Saccharomyces cerevisiae S288C: one gene and its partners. The gene in region 1 interacts genetically with each later gene. Each region holds a gene or a part of one and is shown in the gene's direction. Other genes may lie near its edges.

Region 1 (4,910 bases):
AGATTGTCCTATAATACAAGCGCGCATATTCGGATCTGCTATCGGTGATCGATTACCGTGATAGTCACCATAAAAAAACAAGTGCTTAGCTAAAGAAATAACAGATCTTACTTTGCGCTTCTCGACCAAGGTTTCAAGTATTTTGTTTAAATATTCGAATTTCGACACACCTGCCAAATTAGCCATATGGGATAGCTCAGTGAAAGCTGGATGCGTCGTTATTAAATGATCTAAAAGAACGCCTGTACAGCTTTGGCCGCCTTCTGCCGCCCAAAAGCCTCTTGCAAGGACATCTCTATAAGGCCCCCAAACGCCATGGACAAATATAGGGTTTTTTGATAACAAAATATGACACGTAGACGTACCGGCAACAGCTGCCAATCTGCCAATTGCACCATTGAAATCCTTTTTATAATTTTCGGTCTCGGCAAGACCTTTTACTGCTGATTCCGGCTTGGCGGCTACCGTCCCTACCCAGCCTGCATATGCATCAATAATTCCTGAACTTACTACACAATGCTCTGTCAAGCCTAATTGACAGGCAGCCTTTTTATCTAACGGGCTGATACATTCACCTGCGGTCAGAAAGTTTTTTTTTTCCCTTAACGATCCACCCAGTCTTTCAAAATCATTCTTCGTAAGCTCTGAAAGCCCAATTGAATTTAAGAATTCTTTGGACCAGCCTATATCGGAACCTTCGACACCCACTGGTAGAAATCCCTGCTTACAAACAGCAGAACAAAATGACCTATTCTCTTTTCCCGTGGCTTTGAAAGTCAAGTAATCCGGAAGGTCAAAAAACTTACAATCCTGAAAAATTCCAGCTTCTAAGTTGTTCTTCAACCACTTAATCTTCGGAATTTCCATTTCAACAGACATTTGCCCTCCCACATATTTTAAACATTTATCACCAGATGAGTTGATTTCTTCAGTCTCCTTCATCGCCCTATGGTCCATCCATAATATGATATTCTGGTCATTATTGGTAAAATCCGGTCCAACTGCAATTTCTTCAAAATTGGTAGCGGATACGACTACTAAGGAACAAGTCGCATCAAAACCAATTCCACGAACTCTTTCAGGGTCAACTCCTGATTCTTCAACAACAGTTCTAACACAATAGCAAACTGCATTCCAGATTTCTCTTGAAGACTGAGTAATAAAATTGGATATCAATTGTTCCCTTTTTATGGGTTTTTCTGCTAGCGACAACATGTTACCAGATTGATCGATAACACATGCCCTTGCAGAGCCTGTTCCGACATCTACACCAACGTAGAATTTTGCTTCTGGATCTTGTGGAGAAATGCGAGAAATCGAGGTTTCCTGTGACGACAATACCGCTGGCTCCCGTGTTTCATTTTGCATATTGTTTTGGCGTTTCCTGCTTTTCATATAGCCTTAATAATGTACTTTGCAGATGTTTGTTCCTTCGTCTCTTTACATCTTTTCATTGTACTCAGCGGTCTGGGTGTGCAGCTTTCCACATTTACTAATACTGGTCTGTAGCATTTAGTCAAACGGGTGTTATAAAGGTTCAATTTCTTCATCATACCTAACATTGTGATCGAGGTTTCCAGGAAGAGCTTATATATATCAAAACAAGAAACCCAGAGTATCTTTACCCCCACATTCAATATGAGGTGTCAGCCATAATTATTTACATGATAATACTGATATTTTTTCTTTTTCGCGATATATTGAAAAGAAAAAAAAATTGCGAGGTGATTCCTCATCGCATGTATTCATTTTAACGACATTGAATTAAGCCTTCAGGGGGGAGAACAATTTAACGATTGTGTGAGTGTGAATTTGTGCTGAGGATAACAATGACGAAACCGCGTTACAATGACGTGTTGTTTGATGATGATGACTCGGTACCATCAGAATCAGTTACGAGGAAATCGCAGAGAAGAAAGGCAACGTCACCTGGGGAATCAAGAGAGTCCTCAAAAGATCGTCTACTGATACTTCCCTCTATGGGGGAATCATATACTGAGTACGTAGACTCTTATTTGAACTTAGAATTATTGGAAAGGGGAGAAAGAGAAACACCAATCTTTCTTGAATCTCTGACAAGACAACTAACGCAGAAAATATATGAACTAATAAAAACAAAATCTTTAACTGCAGATACCTTGCAACAAATAAGTGATAAATACGATGGTGTAGTGGCAGAAAACAAGCTGTTATTTTTGCAAAGACAGTATTATGTTGATGATGAAGGAAATGTTAGAGATGGCCGAAATAATGATAAAATATACTGTGAGCCAAAGCATGTATACGACATGGTGATGGCAACACACTTGATGAATAAGCATCTTAGGGGTAAAACATTACATTCCTTTTTATTTTCTCATTTTGCCAATATTAGTCATGCCATCATCGATTGGGTCCAGCAATTTTGTTCAAAATGTAATAAAAAGGGCAAAATTAAACCATTGAAGGAATATAAACGTCCTGACATGTACGATAAACTACTACCAATGGAAAGGATACATATTGAGGTATTCGAACCCTTCAATGGAGAAGCTATTGAGGGAAAATATTCTTATGTCCTTTTATGCCGAGACTATCGCTCTAGTTTTATGTGGTTATTACCACTTAAGAGTACCAAATTCAAACATCTTATCCCAGTTGTTTCCTCACTTTTTTTAACATTTGCTAGGGTTCCAATTTTCGTAACATCAAGCACTTTAGATAAAGATGATCTTTATGATATTTGTGAAGAAATTGCATCAAAATACGGTCTCCGTATTGGCTTGGGTTTGAAGAGTTCTGCGAGATTTCATACTGGGGGTATACTGTGCATTCAGTATGCTCTAAATAGTTATAAGAAGGAATGTCTAGCCGATTGGGGTAAGTGCCTAAGATATGGCCCTTACAGATTCAACCGAAGGAGAAATAAGAGAACGAAACGTAAACCTGTGCAAGTACTACTTAGTGAAGTTCCAGGTCACAATGCCAAGTTTGAGACTAAGAGAGAAAGGGTTATAGAAAACACATATTCCCGTAATATGTTCAAGATGGCAGGTGGAAAAGGTCTTATATATTTGGAAGATGTCAATACTTTTGCCCTTGCTAATGAAGCGGATAATAGCTGTAACAATAATGGAATTCTTCATAATAACAATATAGGAAATGATAACTTTGAAGAAGAAGTGCAAAAACAATTTGATCTAACTGAAAAAAACTATATCGATGAGTATGATGATTTGGCACATGATTCTTCAGAGGGCGAATTTGAACCTAATACCTTAACTCCCGAAGAAAAGCCTCCTCATAATGTCGATGAGGACCGAATAGAGTCCACCGGCGTGGCAGCCCCAATGCAGGGAACAGAAGAGCCTGAAAAAGGGGATCAAAAAGAAAGTGACGGTGCATCACAAGTAGATCAAAGTGTCGAAATAACTAGACCAGAAACTTCCTACTATCAAACTCTGGAATCGCCGTCAACAAAACGACAGAAATTAGACCAACAGGGTAATGGAGATCAAACAAGAGACTTTGGCACATCAATGGAATTGTAATAATATGTAGGATAGAATGAAAGGAGGAGTCACCATAGGTGAAAAAAAAAAGCACCTATTGCATATAAAGTATTCAAAAAGGTGTTGAAAGCTCTTCCTGTATATGACCCTGTATTTAATGTACGCGGTTAAAAAATTTTTATATTTTTAAATAAGTATCAACTTGGATAATATGATCTTGCCCGCAAGGTGGTTTTATATGAATAATTACTTTTTTTTTTTTTTTTTTTTTTTTTTTTTTTTTTTAATTGAACAATAGATGCAGAGGAATGCTCCAAAATTTATTTCCTTGAACAATATTACAAGAGGCAGATATATACTTTTCCTTATTTCCCTTAGTAAAGAATGATGCATGTATACTATTACAAATTTAAACTTCACCCCCACCATGGATGCAAAACAAATAGAAAGCCATTATCATTAGTTTTTTTTTTTCATTCAATTACGATACTTGCTGAAGAAATCTTGATGAAATTCTTTCCAGTCTTGAATCCATTTAGTCCCTGGAGCCAAAAACGTTGTTCGCACATGATAAGTCCCGGGTCTTTGTCCGAACCCAGACCCTGGGACAGTACAAATACCTGTAGATTCTAGCAAAGATGTGCAATAGAACTCATCAGGTTCGATGCCAAGGCGTTCGCTTTCACAAAGAGCTTTCTTAGGTAAAACAAGCCTAGGGAAAAGATACATTGCACCCTGAGGTTTTTGGCATTCGATACCCTCTAGTTCCTTAAACGTCTCGTACAATAAGTTTGCTCTCGTACGCATTTCATGAAAAATTTTCAGCCTTTCGTCATGATCTTGTTCATAGGACTCGTCTCCAGGCTGGGGTGGTTTGACCATTAAATCAACCACAGCTTGTCCTGTGACAACAGAACATATGGATATAGACATGAGTTTGAAAAGAGCATCTCTTATTTCTTGAGAAAACCCAATAATTTCCATGTAACCGCCTCTTTGGCCGCACTCATCCATGAATCCTTTAGAAATGGAGTGTAAAGAGGCGAGCTGAACGTTATCGAATTTTCCTGGATAAAGATGCTGCAATTTTCTTAGGACTTTCTTCATCGAATGAAATTTAACATCGTTGAAAATGTTTTCTTGATAGACCTCATCAGAAATGATTGTAATGCCGTATTTCGCAGCGATCAAACAGATCCTGGCAATGGTTTCTTCAGAAAGAACTGCACCGGTTGGGTTACCTGGATTAATAACTATCAGCACAGATGGTCTGATCTGTTTTTTCAAAGCATCTTGCACTACTTTTTCAATTTCGTCGCTGTTTGTAGACCAATTTGACTCCTCATCTAAGTAGTATGGCAGCACTTGTGCATTGAAAAGAGATGCGGATGCAGTATAAAGCGGATACTGCGGAATTGG
Region 2 (4,443 bases), on another chromosome or scaffold:
GATCTCTTAGAGGCCTTCTCCATTAAAAGTGGGGAGACGTTTTTCAATCCATTAAAATAGGCCCAAGAAATAGCAATGGCCTTTGTATTTCCAGTAATAACAGATTCCATTGCGCCTCCTACGGTACCAGAAGAGGTAATATAAGCAGCAGATGTATTTCTACCAACATTTGGACCCGACAGTACTAGATCAAACGGTTCATTAGACAATAGGTGCAGCCCGATGTTTGCGCACGATGCTGGAGTTCCATCGATTAATATCCACTCAATTGTATCTTTCGGAATTTCAGCATTGAGAACATAAGGTAATTTAGAGTTTTCTGACCTAATTTGTGGCTGGATAAATGGGCCCCAAAAAGTATTGTCTTCAGCGTCAACTTTAGAATATATGAATTGAGCTGTCAAATTTTTACCAGCAAGATGAGCCTTACCCACCCATGATTTCTGGACATGAGGTACACAAACCGTGATTTTCCATTCAGGATAATTTCTTTTAATGTGCTGAATAAAAGGTCTAATGTATGGTGAAAACTGATCACTTAAGGGACCATCATCGTTAGTTATTAAAACCCGCATCTTAAAAGAAATATTTATTGTTTCCGAATTTTTAATGTCAGAGATCAAGTCAGAGCGGCTGCCTTTACCGTAATTTTCAATTGCTAAATACAATGTTCCTTGGTTATCCCATCGCCAATAATTTTTATTTTTACCACTGTTGAAGAAGCGAAAGAAAAAAAAAGGGAAAATCAAAACATTCCCTGTGCACTAATAGAAGAAAACAAGAGACTCCGTCCCTCTTTAGTGAGAAAATTGACCAGAGATGGTTTTTGTCCATCTTTTCGCAAAAAATTAGTTCTATTTTTTACACATCGGACTGATAAGTTACTACTGCACATTGGCATTAGCTAGGAGGGCATCCAAGTAATAATTGCGAGAAACGTGACCCAACTTTGTTGTAGGTCCGCTCCTTCTAATAATCGCTTGTATCTCTACATATGTTCTATTTACTGACCGAAAGTAGCTCGCTACAATAATAATGTTGACCTGATGTCAGTCCCCACGCTAATAGCGGCGTGTCGCACGCTCTCTTTACAGGACGCCGGAGACCGGCATTACAAGGATCCGAAAGTTGTATTCAACAAGAATGCGCAAATATGTCAACGTATTTGGAAGTCATCTTATGTGCGCTGCTTTAATGTTTTCTCATGTAAGCGGACGTCGTCTATAAACTTCAAACGAAGGTAAAAGGTTCATAGCGCTTTTTCTTTGTCTGCACAAAGAAATATATATTAAATTAGCACGTTTTCGCATAGAACGCAACTGCACAATGCCAAAAAAAGTAAAAGTGATTAAAAGAGTTAATTGAATAGGCAATCTCTAAATGAATCGATACAACCTTGGCACTCACACGTGGGACTAGCACAGACTAAATTTATGATTCTGGTCCCTGTTTTCGAAGAGATCGCACATGCCAAATTATCAAATTGGTCACCTTACTTGGCAAGGCATATACCCATTTGGGATAAGGGTAAACATCTTTGAATTGTCGAAATGAAACGTATATAAGCGCTGATGTTTTGCTAAGTCGAGGTTAGTATGGCTTCATCTCTCATGAGAATAAGAACAACAACAAATAGAGCAAGCAAATTCGAGATTACCAATGTTTAAATCTGTTGTTTATTCAATTTTAGCCGCTTCTTTGGCCAATGCAGGTACCATTCCCTTAGGCAAACTAGCCGATGTCGACAAGATTGGTACCCAAAAAGATATCTTCCCATTTTTGGGTGGTGCCGGACCATACTACTCTTTCCCTGGCGACTATGGTATTTCTCGTGATTTGCCTGAAGGTTGTGAAATGAAGCAACTGCAAATGGTTGGTAGACATGGTGAAAGATACCCTACTGTCAGTCTGGCTAAGACTATCAAGAGTACATGGTATAAGTTGAGCAATTACACTCGTCAATTCAACGGCTCATTGTCATTCTTGAACGATGATTACGAGTTTTTCATCCGTGATGACGATGATTTGGAAATGGAAACCACTTTTGCCAACTCGGACGATGTTTTGAACCCATACACTGGTGAAATGAACGCCAAGAGACATGCTCGTGACTTCTTGGCTCAATACGGTTACATGGTCGAAAACCAAACCAGTTTCGCCGTTTTTACCTCTAATTCTAAGAGATGTCATGACACTGCTCAATATTTCATTGATGGTTTAGGTGACCAATTCAACATCACCTTGCAGACTGTCAGTGAAGCTGAATCCGCTGGTGCCAACACTTTGAGTGCTTGTAACTCATGTCCTGCTTGGGACTACGATGCCAATGATGACATTGTAAATGAATACGACACAACCTACTTGGATGACATTGCCAAGAGATTGAACAAGGAAAACAAGGGTTTGAACTTGACCTCAACTGACGCTAGTACTTTATTCTCGTGGTGTGCATTTGAAGTGAACGCTAAAGGTTACAGTGATGTCTGTGATATTTTCACCAAGGATGAATTAGTCCATTACTCCTACTACCAAGACTTGCACACTTATTACCATGAGGGTCCAGGTTACGACATTATCAAGTCTGTCGGTTCCAACTTGTTCAATGCCTCAGTCAAATTATTAAAGCAAAGTGAGATTCAAGACCAAAAGGTTTGGTTGAGTTTTACCCACGATACCGATATCCTAAACTTTTTGACCACCGCTGGTATAATTGACGACAAAAACAACTTAACTGCCGAATACGTTCCATTCATGGGCAACACTTTCCACAGATCCTGGTACGTTCCTCAAGGTGCTCGTGTCTACACCGAAAAATTCCAATGTTCTAACGACACCTACGTCAGATACGTCATTAACGATGCTGTTGTTCCAATTGAAACCTGTTCCACTGGTCCAGGGTTCTCTTGTGAAATCAATGACTTCTACGACTATGCTGAAAAGAGAGTAGCCGGTACTGACTTCCTAAAGGTCTGTAACGTCAGCAGCGTCAGTAACTCTACTGAATTGACCTTCTACTGGGACTGGAACACTACTCATTACAACGCCAGTCTATTGAGACAATAGTTTTGTATAACTAAATAATATTGGAAACTAAATACGAATACCCAAATTTTTTATCTAAATTTTGCCGAAAGATTAAAATCTGCAGAGATATCCGAAACAGGTAAATGGATGTTTCAATCCCTGTAGTCAGTCAGGAACCCATATTATATTACAGTATTAGTCGCCGCTTAGGCACGCCTTTAATTAGCAAAATCAAACCTTAAGTGCATATGCCGTATAAGGGAAACTCAAAGAACTGGCATCGCAAAAATGAAAAAAAGGAAGAGTGAAAAAAAAAAAATTCAAAAGAAATTTACTAAATAATACCAGTTTGGGAAATAGTAAACAGCTTTGAGTAGTCCTATGCAACATATATAAGTGCTTAAATTTGCTGGATGGAAGTCAATTATGCCTTGATTATCATAAAAAAAATACTACAGTAAAGAAAGGGCCATTCCAAATTACCTATGTTTAAGTCTGTTGTTTATTCGGTTCTAGCCGCTGCTTTAGTTAATGCAGGTACAATTCCCCTCGGAGAGTTAGCCGATGTTGCCAAAATTGGCACTCAGGAAGACATATTCCCATTCCTGGGTGGTGCCGGGCCATACTTCTCTTTCCCTGGCGACTATGGTATTTCTCGTGACTTGCCTGAAGGTTGTGAAATGAAACAATTGCAAATGCTTGCCAGACATGGTGAAAGATACCCAACTTACAGTAAAGGTGCTACCATCATGAAAACATGGTATAAGTTGAGCAATTACACACGTCAATTCAACGGCTCATTGTCATTCTTGAACGATGATTACGAGTTTTTCATCCGTGATGACGATGATTTGGAAATGGAAACCACTTTTGCCAACTCAGACAATGTTTTGAATCCATACACTGGTGAGATGGATGCTAAGAGACATGCTCGTGAGTTTTTAGCGCAATATGGCTACATGTTCGAAAATCAAACCAGTTTCCCAATTTTCGCCGCTAGTTCTGAAAGGGTTCATGACACTGCTCAATATTTCATTGATGGTTTAGGTGACCAATTCAACATCTCCTTGCAGACTGTCAGTGAAGCCATGTCCGCCGGCGCAAACACTTTGAGTGCTGGTAATGCGTGCCCAGGATGGGATGAAGATGCTAACGATGACATTTTGGACAAATACGATACCACATACTTGGATGACATTGCCAAGAGATTAAACAAAGAAAACAAGGGTTTGAATTTGACCTCAAAGGACGCCAACACTTTGTTTGCATGGTGTGCATACGAATTGAACGCTAGAGGCTACAGTGATGTTTGTGATATCTTCACCGAAGATGAATTGGTACGTTACTCATACGGCCAGGACCTGGTATCGTTTTACCAGGATGGACCAGGTTATGATATGATCAGATCCGTCGGTGCCA
Region 3 (4,386 bases), on another chromosome or scaffold:
AGCTCAGAGCAAAAGCCTACGGCTAAGCGAAAGGGTAGAAAGAAGTATAATCTAGTGAGCAATAACTTCAGAAGACTAAAACTGCCAAAGAAAAACCGATTCTCTAATGGACGATGGGGAAGAAGGTGAGCGTGATGGCGTAAATAATACAAACATTTGTAATTTATAGAAACCTATTAAGTATTCAGTTAGATTCCTTCAGCTGCATGACGTATAGTTTATATGGACATCATACGTATTTTTATCAATATAGAGACTAGCATGTTTTTACACTTTTTATTTTTGTTGTTCAATTAGGGGCCTCGTCCATATATGTATATATATTACATAATCTGCAATCATCAATTAGGGGAGGAATAATCGGCAGAGGTATAAATACAAAATTTAAAACAATTCAAGTGAATGAAAAGGTGAACCAACAAACAGAATATTACCACGTATCAAGGAAAAACTAATAATAGTATATTGGCGCATTTAGCAGGATGTTCTGGAAAAAGGATCCCACCGTCAGTTGGGAAAGAAAAAATATCAATGACATTGATTTTAGTCGTTTTAATGTGGCCATAATTGGTGGCACAGGTGGACTTGGACGTGCAATAAGTAGAGAGCTGGCCCAAAGAAATGCCAGGGTTACTGTTGTCGGGCAAACTTTTAGGGACGAGGACCTAAAAGATAAAATTAACTTTGTCAAGGCTGATTTAAGTTTAGTGTCAGAATGCAAGCGTATATCTCATAGTGATGAAATTCCCTACGAGGAGTTAACACATCTGATTTTCACTACGGGTATTTTTGCATCACGCCAGAGACAAGCTACAAGTGAGGGTTTGGAAAAAGACATGGCAGTGAGCTATTTGAGTAGATACATTATCTTCCATGATGTGGCGAAGCGATTAGGAATTAGTAGGACAAAAAAAGACGATTTGCCAAAAGTTTTCATAGCAGGGTTTCCAGGAAATGGTCAGGTGGGAGACCCAGATGACTTGAATTCTGATGAAAAGAAGTATAGTGCCTACGCTACACATATGAACACTGTGGCAGCCAATGAAAGTCTGGTCATAGACGCTAAAGACAGATACACGAATATAGATACTTTCGGTTTGAACCCTGGGCTGATCAAAACGAACATTCGTAATAATCTTCTTGGCAGTGACACCTACCTCAGCCGCATTACAGAATGGATAATCAGCTGGACCTGTCAAAGCGCAGAGACGTATGCGAAAACAATATGCACCCTGATTGCGAGCCCCGCTATCGAATCACGCAGTGGTACAATGTTCAGCAACAAAGGCGATGCTATTTTACCTTCGCCTGGTTTGACCAAAGATGTTGTTGAGAAGTTTATGGAAAATTCGGAACTTCTAGTTGAAAAGGCCTTGCGTAATCAAAGTCCTTTCACTTCCAGTAACGAATGACTTGCTGTAACTAATTGGTTTATATTTAAATATTTCACTTTTTAAAGGGCGTTTGCATGCGACCATCGTCGATGATTCATATTGTTCGGATGCGGAAGATGGCTTCCATGAGTTTTGCACGCCGTCTCATGTGATTGTTGGAGTCATAGCTCGCATATCTTCCTATTGTCAGATGTAATATCGACGGAAATGGCATCTTGGAGTATGGAAGCACTATTCTGCTTTGCTCCAATATTTAGGATGCCGCATTTTTCATATTTTTTTTTACATTTTTCGCTTACGTATATAAATTGCTAGCAAGTATTCGCTCTCTCTGTCTTGGTTATCTAATTGCTAACCGTCGCAATTGAAAAGAAAAAAAAAATACAGAATAGACGATAGCGGATTGAACGATAGCATACTATTGAGTGCGTTTTCCCTTCTCATTTGAAAATTACTATCCGTTTTTCACTGCCGAAAGACTTGATGTTGAGGACGAGGCTTACTAATTGCAGTCTATGGAGGCCCTACTACACGTCATCGCTTAGTAGAGTACCAAGAGCACCTCCAGATAAAGTCTTGGGGTTATCTGAACACTTCAAAAAGGTAAAAAATGTTAACAAAATTGACCTGACCGTAGGAATATATAAAGATGGTTGGGGCAAAGTGACGACGTTTCCCTCCGTTGCAAAAGCTCAAAAATTGATTGAATCTCATTTAGAGTTGAATAAGAATCTTTCATATTTACCAATAACAGGTTCCAAAGAATTTCAGGAAAACGTTATGAAATTTTTGTTCAAGGAATCATGTCCGCAGTTTGGGCCATTTTATTTAGCCCATGATAGAATCAGCTTTGTTCAGACTTTGAGTGGTACAGGCGCCCTAGCTGTAGCAGCTAAATTCTTGGCATTATTTATTTCAAGAGATATTTGGATACCTGACCCATCATGGGCAAATCATAAGAACATTTTTCAGAACAATGGTTTTGAAAATATTTACCGGTATTCCTATTATAAGGACGGTCAGATAGACATCGACGGATGGATTGAGCAATTGAAAACCTTTGCATATAACAACCAGCAAGAAAACAATAAGAACCCACCTTGCATAATCTTGCATGCGTGTTGTCACAACCCTACAGGTCTCGACCCAACTAAAGAGCAATGGGAAAAGATTATAGATACTATATATGAGCTAAAAATGGTACCCATTGTTGATATGGCTTATCAGGGTTTAGAGTCTGGTAACTTACTAAAGGACGCATATTTATTGAGGCTATGTCTCAATGTAAATAAATATCCAAATTGGAGTAACGGTATCTTTCTTTGTCAATCTTTTGCCAAGAACATGGGCCTTTATGGTGAACGAGTTGGTTCCTTAAGCGTTATCACGCCGGCAACTGCGAACAATGGAAAGTTCAACCCTCTACAACAGAAAAACTCATTGCAGCAAAATATTGACTCCCAATTAAAAAAGATTGTCAGAGGTATGTATTCTTCTCCACCAGGATACGGTTCTCGTGTGGTAAATGTAGTATTATCAGATTTCAAATTGAAACAGCAATGGTTCAAGGATGTTGATTTCATGGTTCAGAGATTGCATCACGTCAGACAGGAGATGTTTGACCGTCTAGGGTGGCCGGATCTTGTAAATTTCGCACAACAGCACGGTATGTTTTACTATACAAGGTTTAGTCCAAAGCAAGTCGAAATATTGAGAAACAATTACTTCGTCTATTTAACAGGTGATGGTAGATTGTCGCTTAGCGGAGTCAATGATTCGAACGTTGATTACTTATGTGAATCTCTTGAAGCAGTCTCGAAAATGGACAAACTCGCATAATTTTTTCACCTTACAGTTCACCTTTGTCTTTATTTTTTTATTACTTTTCCCTTCTCATTTTGCCACACAATAATTTATAGAATATAATAATTTTTTGTAATAATTAATAAACCTTTTTTTTATCTACTCTATATACACTTTTCAGATAACTAGATTGGATTAATTCGTGATCGAACTAGTTATTAAATTTTAAATGAAAAGAAAGCTAGCGCTAGCCAACTATTTTAATTACGGTGGCAGTGCATCATATCCTTACATTTCATTTTAGGTTTCCTATGTTTTCTTCTTTCAAATCATTTCCTGCCAAAAATTTTTTTCAGTTTCCTACCGAATTTACTGTGACCGTGACGGTCATGCGACTTATCTTTTATAGCTGCATCATCGTTATGAAGCTTGTGTATCTCTCCATTTTTATCAATGATAGTCACCGGAACGCTTAATGGTAAGGCTGTAGGCAGGTCAGGATTTGATGACTCCAAAGTGGCTGTTCCACCAGATATGTTCCTATTTGACAATTGGCTTTTATTTCCGAATAATGAAAACCGGTGGCCTTCTGTACCAGCTTCGCTTACGTCATTAGTGTTCATGGATGATGCAGTGTAAGGGGAAGAATCATCGTTGTTGCAGCTCTTTTTATTTGCTAATATTGGCATATCGTTTTCGTTGGTCTTATTTTTGAAGTTCGTCATGGGATTAACTATCTCTGTTTCGTTCGTGGTATGAGTAGAATGACTTGTTCTCCTTTTCAGCGGAGAGGGCAAACCAAAAGTCCATGATTTTCTTGAGACATGACCTCCTTTTTCCTTCTTTTCTTCCACATCCAGGTTCTCTGCTGCTGTGGCTGTAGCATTCTTTGTGATAAGTGGCTCTCTCAAAGACATGCTTCTAAATCCTAGGTTATCCTTCGCAGGTCTTTCCTTCTCAAAACTAGACTTCCTGGCGGGGGGTTCTTTGGGGTAGAGTGCACTATTATTTTTATCAATGTATAGAGGGACATGATCAGGCAATCGTCTCGATGTTGTGCTCGCCTGAGGAGCTTTTGGAAAACACTTGGACGCCTCGTGTGAAGCCAAGTTGCCAGATGATGGAGGATTTGATGGCTTCTTGCTATGATATGGAGGGGATGAAGATGAGTCAGAAGCTGGATATACTA
Region 4 (4,695 bases), on another chromosome or scaffold:
TCTCATAACTTATGTCATCATCTTAACACCGTATATGATAATATATTGATAATATAACTATTAGTTGATAGACGATAGTGGATTTTTATTCCAACAAAACGTCAGTGTAAACATTCAAGTGATTTTAACTTTACGCGGTTGAAGAATGCTGTGTTCGAACTATAAAGCGTCAGAAAAGATGGTTTAGCGAAGGCACCATTATGAAGATAGACACATTCTTCTTTTTTTTTTTTTTTTTTTTTTTTTTTTTTTTTTTTTCATTTACTTTTATTTCTCGCGGTCGGTAAATTTTTCGTGGGTTTCTTTGAATCTATTAGCCGACATAAGAATAATGCATAAATAATATTTTTAATGTCTTCCTATGCCCAAAAGAAGAAGTCTTGAAGTTGCCGCACATGGAAATCACATGACCATGGCTTGGCCCTTCGTTTTAAATGCAACATGCAATATGGAATGTGTCATGAATACTATCAGCAGGAACAGAAAGCGTCGTTTTGTTTCTGCAAATGCTGTAGTTTTGGGCCGAAAATAGATGTAGTAGAATATATAGTGAAACGTGATGTACAAAAGAAAAAGGTAGTTTAAAAAAAATTAGATAACTTGGATTTTTACCCTGAATATTGCATGTGATTCGTAAAGAACTGAGTTACCTCAAACGGACCTCCCTTTTCATTTCGTATTCCGCGAATCATGAAGTCATGCAATTACCTCTGAAGAGCTGACTGTCCCAAAAGAAGCTATCGAATCTGTCCTTGATTTATTTAAGCCTTGCGTTTCGAGAAAGTGAAAACCAATTGAATACAAAATAAAAAAAAAAGAAGAAAGAAATAGCAGGTCTAAGATATATAAGAAAGTTAATATCATTTTTGAACATTTTATTTTAGACGCCTTCAGCCGCGCGACGCCCGGAGTAATCATATGCCCATGACTTTACCAAAAGGCAACAGGGAGGAACATGCATTAATGTGAAGCATCACTGCTGCAATTCTCGGTGTTGCTAATAATTCATGGATCGAGAAAGAGACATAACATTTAGGCCAATTTTTTGAATAAATATGAACTCAGCTAAGACTCGACAATACAATTTTCTTATACTAAACGTAGATTTATAAAATAAACACAACTGTAAGGGCAATGCAACCGTAGATGCATATATCATTTATAGAAATTATATCCAACAGAAAGCTCAGACTTATATCCGGTTTAAGAGAGAAATTCTTGCTCATATTACCCCAAGACCAGGTGGCGTGTTGAAGTTTATAACATATAAGAACTACTACCTCATGAATTCTAGTGGATGAAAGAAGCAGCACGAACACCATTTCTACAGACAACGACACATGGAAAGGTTCACCATTCCCAAAGAAAACAACGATGGCCACAAGGGTGTGGTCCTCCATTCTCCTACTGTTGGAAGGAGATATTATCCGACCGACTGTTTTGTGATATGGCAAACTATTTTTTTAAATGAGCAAAATTACTTCTTTTGGCTGGAAATGTCATTAGAAAGTGCCCAAGTGACATTTAGCTAAACTCGGGTATTGTCTACAAGACCGGTGCTGTGACCGTTTCCAATACGGAAAGAAACGGTACTGGGAGCAGGAGTTGCTTTTACAGATATGAACAATGCCAATAGAGCCGCACATGTAATTACTGGTTCACACTCGTGGGGCCCACACGATTCCTGTGCAAAGTTTGACAAGAGGATGGAGTTTCACGTAAATGCTGCCAAAGGTGATGCGGTTTTGTTTTTGGGCAGCCTCTACCATGTTGCAAGTGCGAACCATACTGTGGCCACATAGATTACAAAAAAAGTCCAGGATATCTTGCAAACCTAGCTTGTTTTGTAAACGACATTGAAAAAAGCGTATTAAGGTGAGAAAATCAAGATTATCTAAGCCGATGAAAAATGAAAGGTATGATTTCAGCCACAAATATATAGTAGTTATTTTATACATCAAGATGAGAAAATAAAGGGATTTTTTCGTTCTTTTATCATTTTCTCTTTCTCACTTCCGACTACTTCTTATATCTACTTTCATCGTTTCATTCATCGTGGGTGTCTAATAAAGTTTTAATGACAGAGATAACCTTGATAAGCTTTTTCTTATACGCTGTGTCACGTATTTATTAAATTACCACGTTTTCGCATAACATTCTGTAGTTCATGTGTACTAAAAAAAAAAAAAAAAAAAGGAAATAGGAAGGAAAGAGTAAAAAGTTAATAGAAAACAGAACACATCCCTAAACGAAGCCGCACAATCTTGGCGTTCACACGTGGGTTTAAAAAGGCAAATTACACAGAATTTCAGACCCTGTTTACCGGAGAGATTCCATATTCCGCACGTCACATTGCCAAATTGGTCATCTCACCAGATATGTTATACCCGTTTTGGAATGAGCATAAACAGCGTCGAATTGCCAAGTAAAACGTATATAAGCTCTTACATTTCGATAGATTCAAGCTCAGTTTCGCCTTGGTTGTAAAGTAGGAAGAAGAAGAAGAAGAAGAGGAACAACAACAGCAAAGAGAGCAAGAACATCATCAGAAATACCAATGTTGAAGTCAGCCGTTTATTCAATTTTAGCCGCTTCTTTGGTTAATGCAGGTACCATACCCCTCGGAAAGTTATCTGACATTGACAAAATCGGAACTCAAACGGAAATTTTCCCATTTTTGGGTGGTTCTGGGCCATACTACTCTTTCCCTGGTGATTATGGTATTTCTCGTGATTTGCCGGAAAGTTGTGAAATGAAGCAAGTGCAAATGGTTGGTAGACACGGTGAAAGATACCCCACTGTCAGCAAAGCCAAAAGTATCATGACAACGTGGTACAAATTGAGTAACTATACCGGTCAATTCAGCGGAGCATTGTCTTTCTTGAACGATGACTACGAATTTTTCATTCGTGACACCAAAAACCTAGAAATGGAAACCACACTTGCCAATTCGGTCAATGTTTTGAACCCATATACCGGTGAGATGAATGCTAAGAGACACGCTCGTGATTTCTTGGCGCAATATGGCTACATGGTCGAAAACCAAACCAGTTTTGCCGTTTTTACGTCTAACTCGAACAGATGTCATGATACTGCCCAGTATTTCATTGACGGTTTGGGTGATAAATTCAACATATCCTTGCAAACCATCAGTGAAGCCGAGTCTGCTGGTGCCAATACTCTGAGTGCCCACCATTCGTGTCCTGCTTGGGACGATGATGTCAACGATGACATTTTGAAAAAATATGATACCAAATATTTGAGTGGTATTGCCAAGAGATTAAACAAGGAAAACAAGGGTTTGAATCTGACTTCAAGTGATGCAAACACTTTTTTTGCATGGTGTGCATATGAAATAAACGCTAGAGGTTACAGTGACATCTGTAACATCTTCACCAAAGATGAATTGGTCCGTTTCTCCTACGGCCAAGACTTGGAAACTTATTATCAAACGGGACCAGGCTATGACGTCGTCAGATCCGTCGGTGCCAACTTGTTCAACGCTTCAGTGAAACTACTAAAGGAAAGTGAGGTCCAGGACCAAAAGGTTTGGTTGAGTTTCACCCACGATACCGATATTCTGAACTATTTGACCACTATCGGCATAATCGATGACCAAAATAACTTGACCGCCGAACATGTTCCATTCATGGAAAACACTTTCCACAGATCCTGGTACGTTCCACAAGGTGCTCGTGTTTACACTGAAAAGTTCCAGTGTTCCAATGACACCTATGTTAGATACGTCATCAACGATGCTGTCGTTCCAATTGAAACCTGTTCTACTGGTCCAGGGTTCTCTTGTGAAATAAATGACTTCTACGGCTATGCTGAAAAGAGAGTAGCCGGTACTGACTTCCTAAAGGTCTGTAACGTCAGCAGCGTCAGTAACTCTACTGAATTGACCTTTTTCTGGGACTGGAATACCAAGCACTACAACGACACTTTATTAAAACAGTAAATAGACCTAATATGATTTATGTAATTTTAGAAACTAAATATGAATGCTAATTTTTTTCTTATTTTGACTTTTGCTTGCGAGAAGTACCAAGTTGGAACAACAAACACAGTCCAAAGAGGGAAATACAAAGGCACAGTACGCAATTACTTTATTATTCTTTAGCAAGACGAAGATAGTATGAATATACGTGTAAGGCATATGCAAAGCCATGATTTTATACCATAGACATGACATGCGGGTTACATGAGGTGGTAAAATGTTTTAAGATAGCGTCCAGGGCAAGTACATGAAATGTCGTTTAGAGATGATGCAAGAGTAGGGTTATGATGTGAAAGAATAGGGCAATTAATTAACAGAGCGGATGTTGTAGGATGATATAGTGACACATAATATATAAATGATCGGTTGAGCGCGATATTATATAAGAACATCCATATGAGTATATATCCTACCGTGTCTGTTCTCTACAGTGCTTCTTTTATTCAAAATTATTGGTTTTCGTAACCGCCGCGCAGGCACGCCGCGCATCTCTTTTTCTCGAAGAAAGCGGAAAAATAAAAACGAAAAAATAAAAAAAAAAAAAAGTATAAATAGTGAAGACTTTTTCCATTTGATATTTGGTAAAAATTTCGGCTGGAAGTTTTTTGCTGAACATTTAACCGGAGAATCTTGGTGGCTTTTTCTCAGTTTCGTGGGCTTATACATTTTACCTAGTATGCTGGGAACCTTTTTTT

Evidence for each region.
Region 2: of FOB1 (region 1) and PHO5, changing one suppresses a phenotype caused by changing the other (phenotypic suppression), as found in Saccharomyces cerevisiae (one study listed by BioGRID).
Region 3: of FOB1 (region 1) and AAT1, changing one suppresses a phenotype caused by changing the other (phenotypic suppression), as found in Saccharomyces cerevisiae (one study listed by BioGRID).
Region 4: of FOB1 (region 1) and PHO12, changing one suppresses a phenotype caused by changing the other (phenotypic suppression), as found in Saccharomyces cerevisiae (one study listed by BioGRID).

The regions. Positions count from the first base shown.
Region 1 is NC_001136.10:674,273-679,182, forward strand, and holds FOB1 (replication fork barrier binding protein FOB1), read left to right. Parts: upstream 1-1,829; coding exon 1,830-3,530; downstream 3,531-4,910. Other genes in the region: YDR109C (putative phosphotransferase), read right to left, coding at 1-1,395; alanine transaminase ALT2, read right to left, coding at 3,969-4,910.
Region 2 is NC_001134.8:428,168-432,610, reverse strand, and holds PHO5 (acid phosphatase PHO5), read left to right. Parts: upstream 1-1,659; coding exon 1,660-3,063; downstream 3,064-4,443. Other genes in the region: PBY1 (putative tubulin tyrosine ligase), read right to left, coding at 1-575; acid phosphatase PHO3, read left to right, coding at 3,510-4,443. UniProt on the Saccharomyces cerevisiae protein: Partially mediates extracellular nucleotide derived phosphate hydrolysis along with NPP1 and NPP2.
Region 3 is NC_001143.9:235,659-240,044, forward strand, and holds AAT1 (aspartate transaminase AAT1), read left to right. Parts: upstream 1-1,877; coding exon 1,878-3,233; downstream 3,234-4,386. Other genes in the region: SLD2 (Sld2p), read left to right, coding at 1-129; YKL107W (putative short-chain dehydrogenase/reductase), read left to right, coding at 483-1,412; YKL106C-A (uncharacterized protein), read right to left, coding at 1,489-1,608; SEG2 (Seg2p), read right to left, coding at 3,527-4,386. UniProt on the Saccharomyces cerevisiae protein: Plays a key role in amino acid metabolism. Important for metabolite exchange between mitochondria and cytosol.
Region 4 is NC_001140.6:549,542-554,236, forward strand, and holds PHO12 (acid phosphatase PHO12), read left to right. Parts: upstream 1-2,557; coding exon 2,558-3,961; downstream 3,962-4,695. Other genes in the region: YHR214C-D (uncharacterized protein), read right to left, coding at 1,107-1,400; YHR214C-E (uncharacterized protein), read right to left, coding at 1,659-1,958.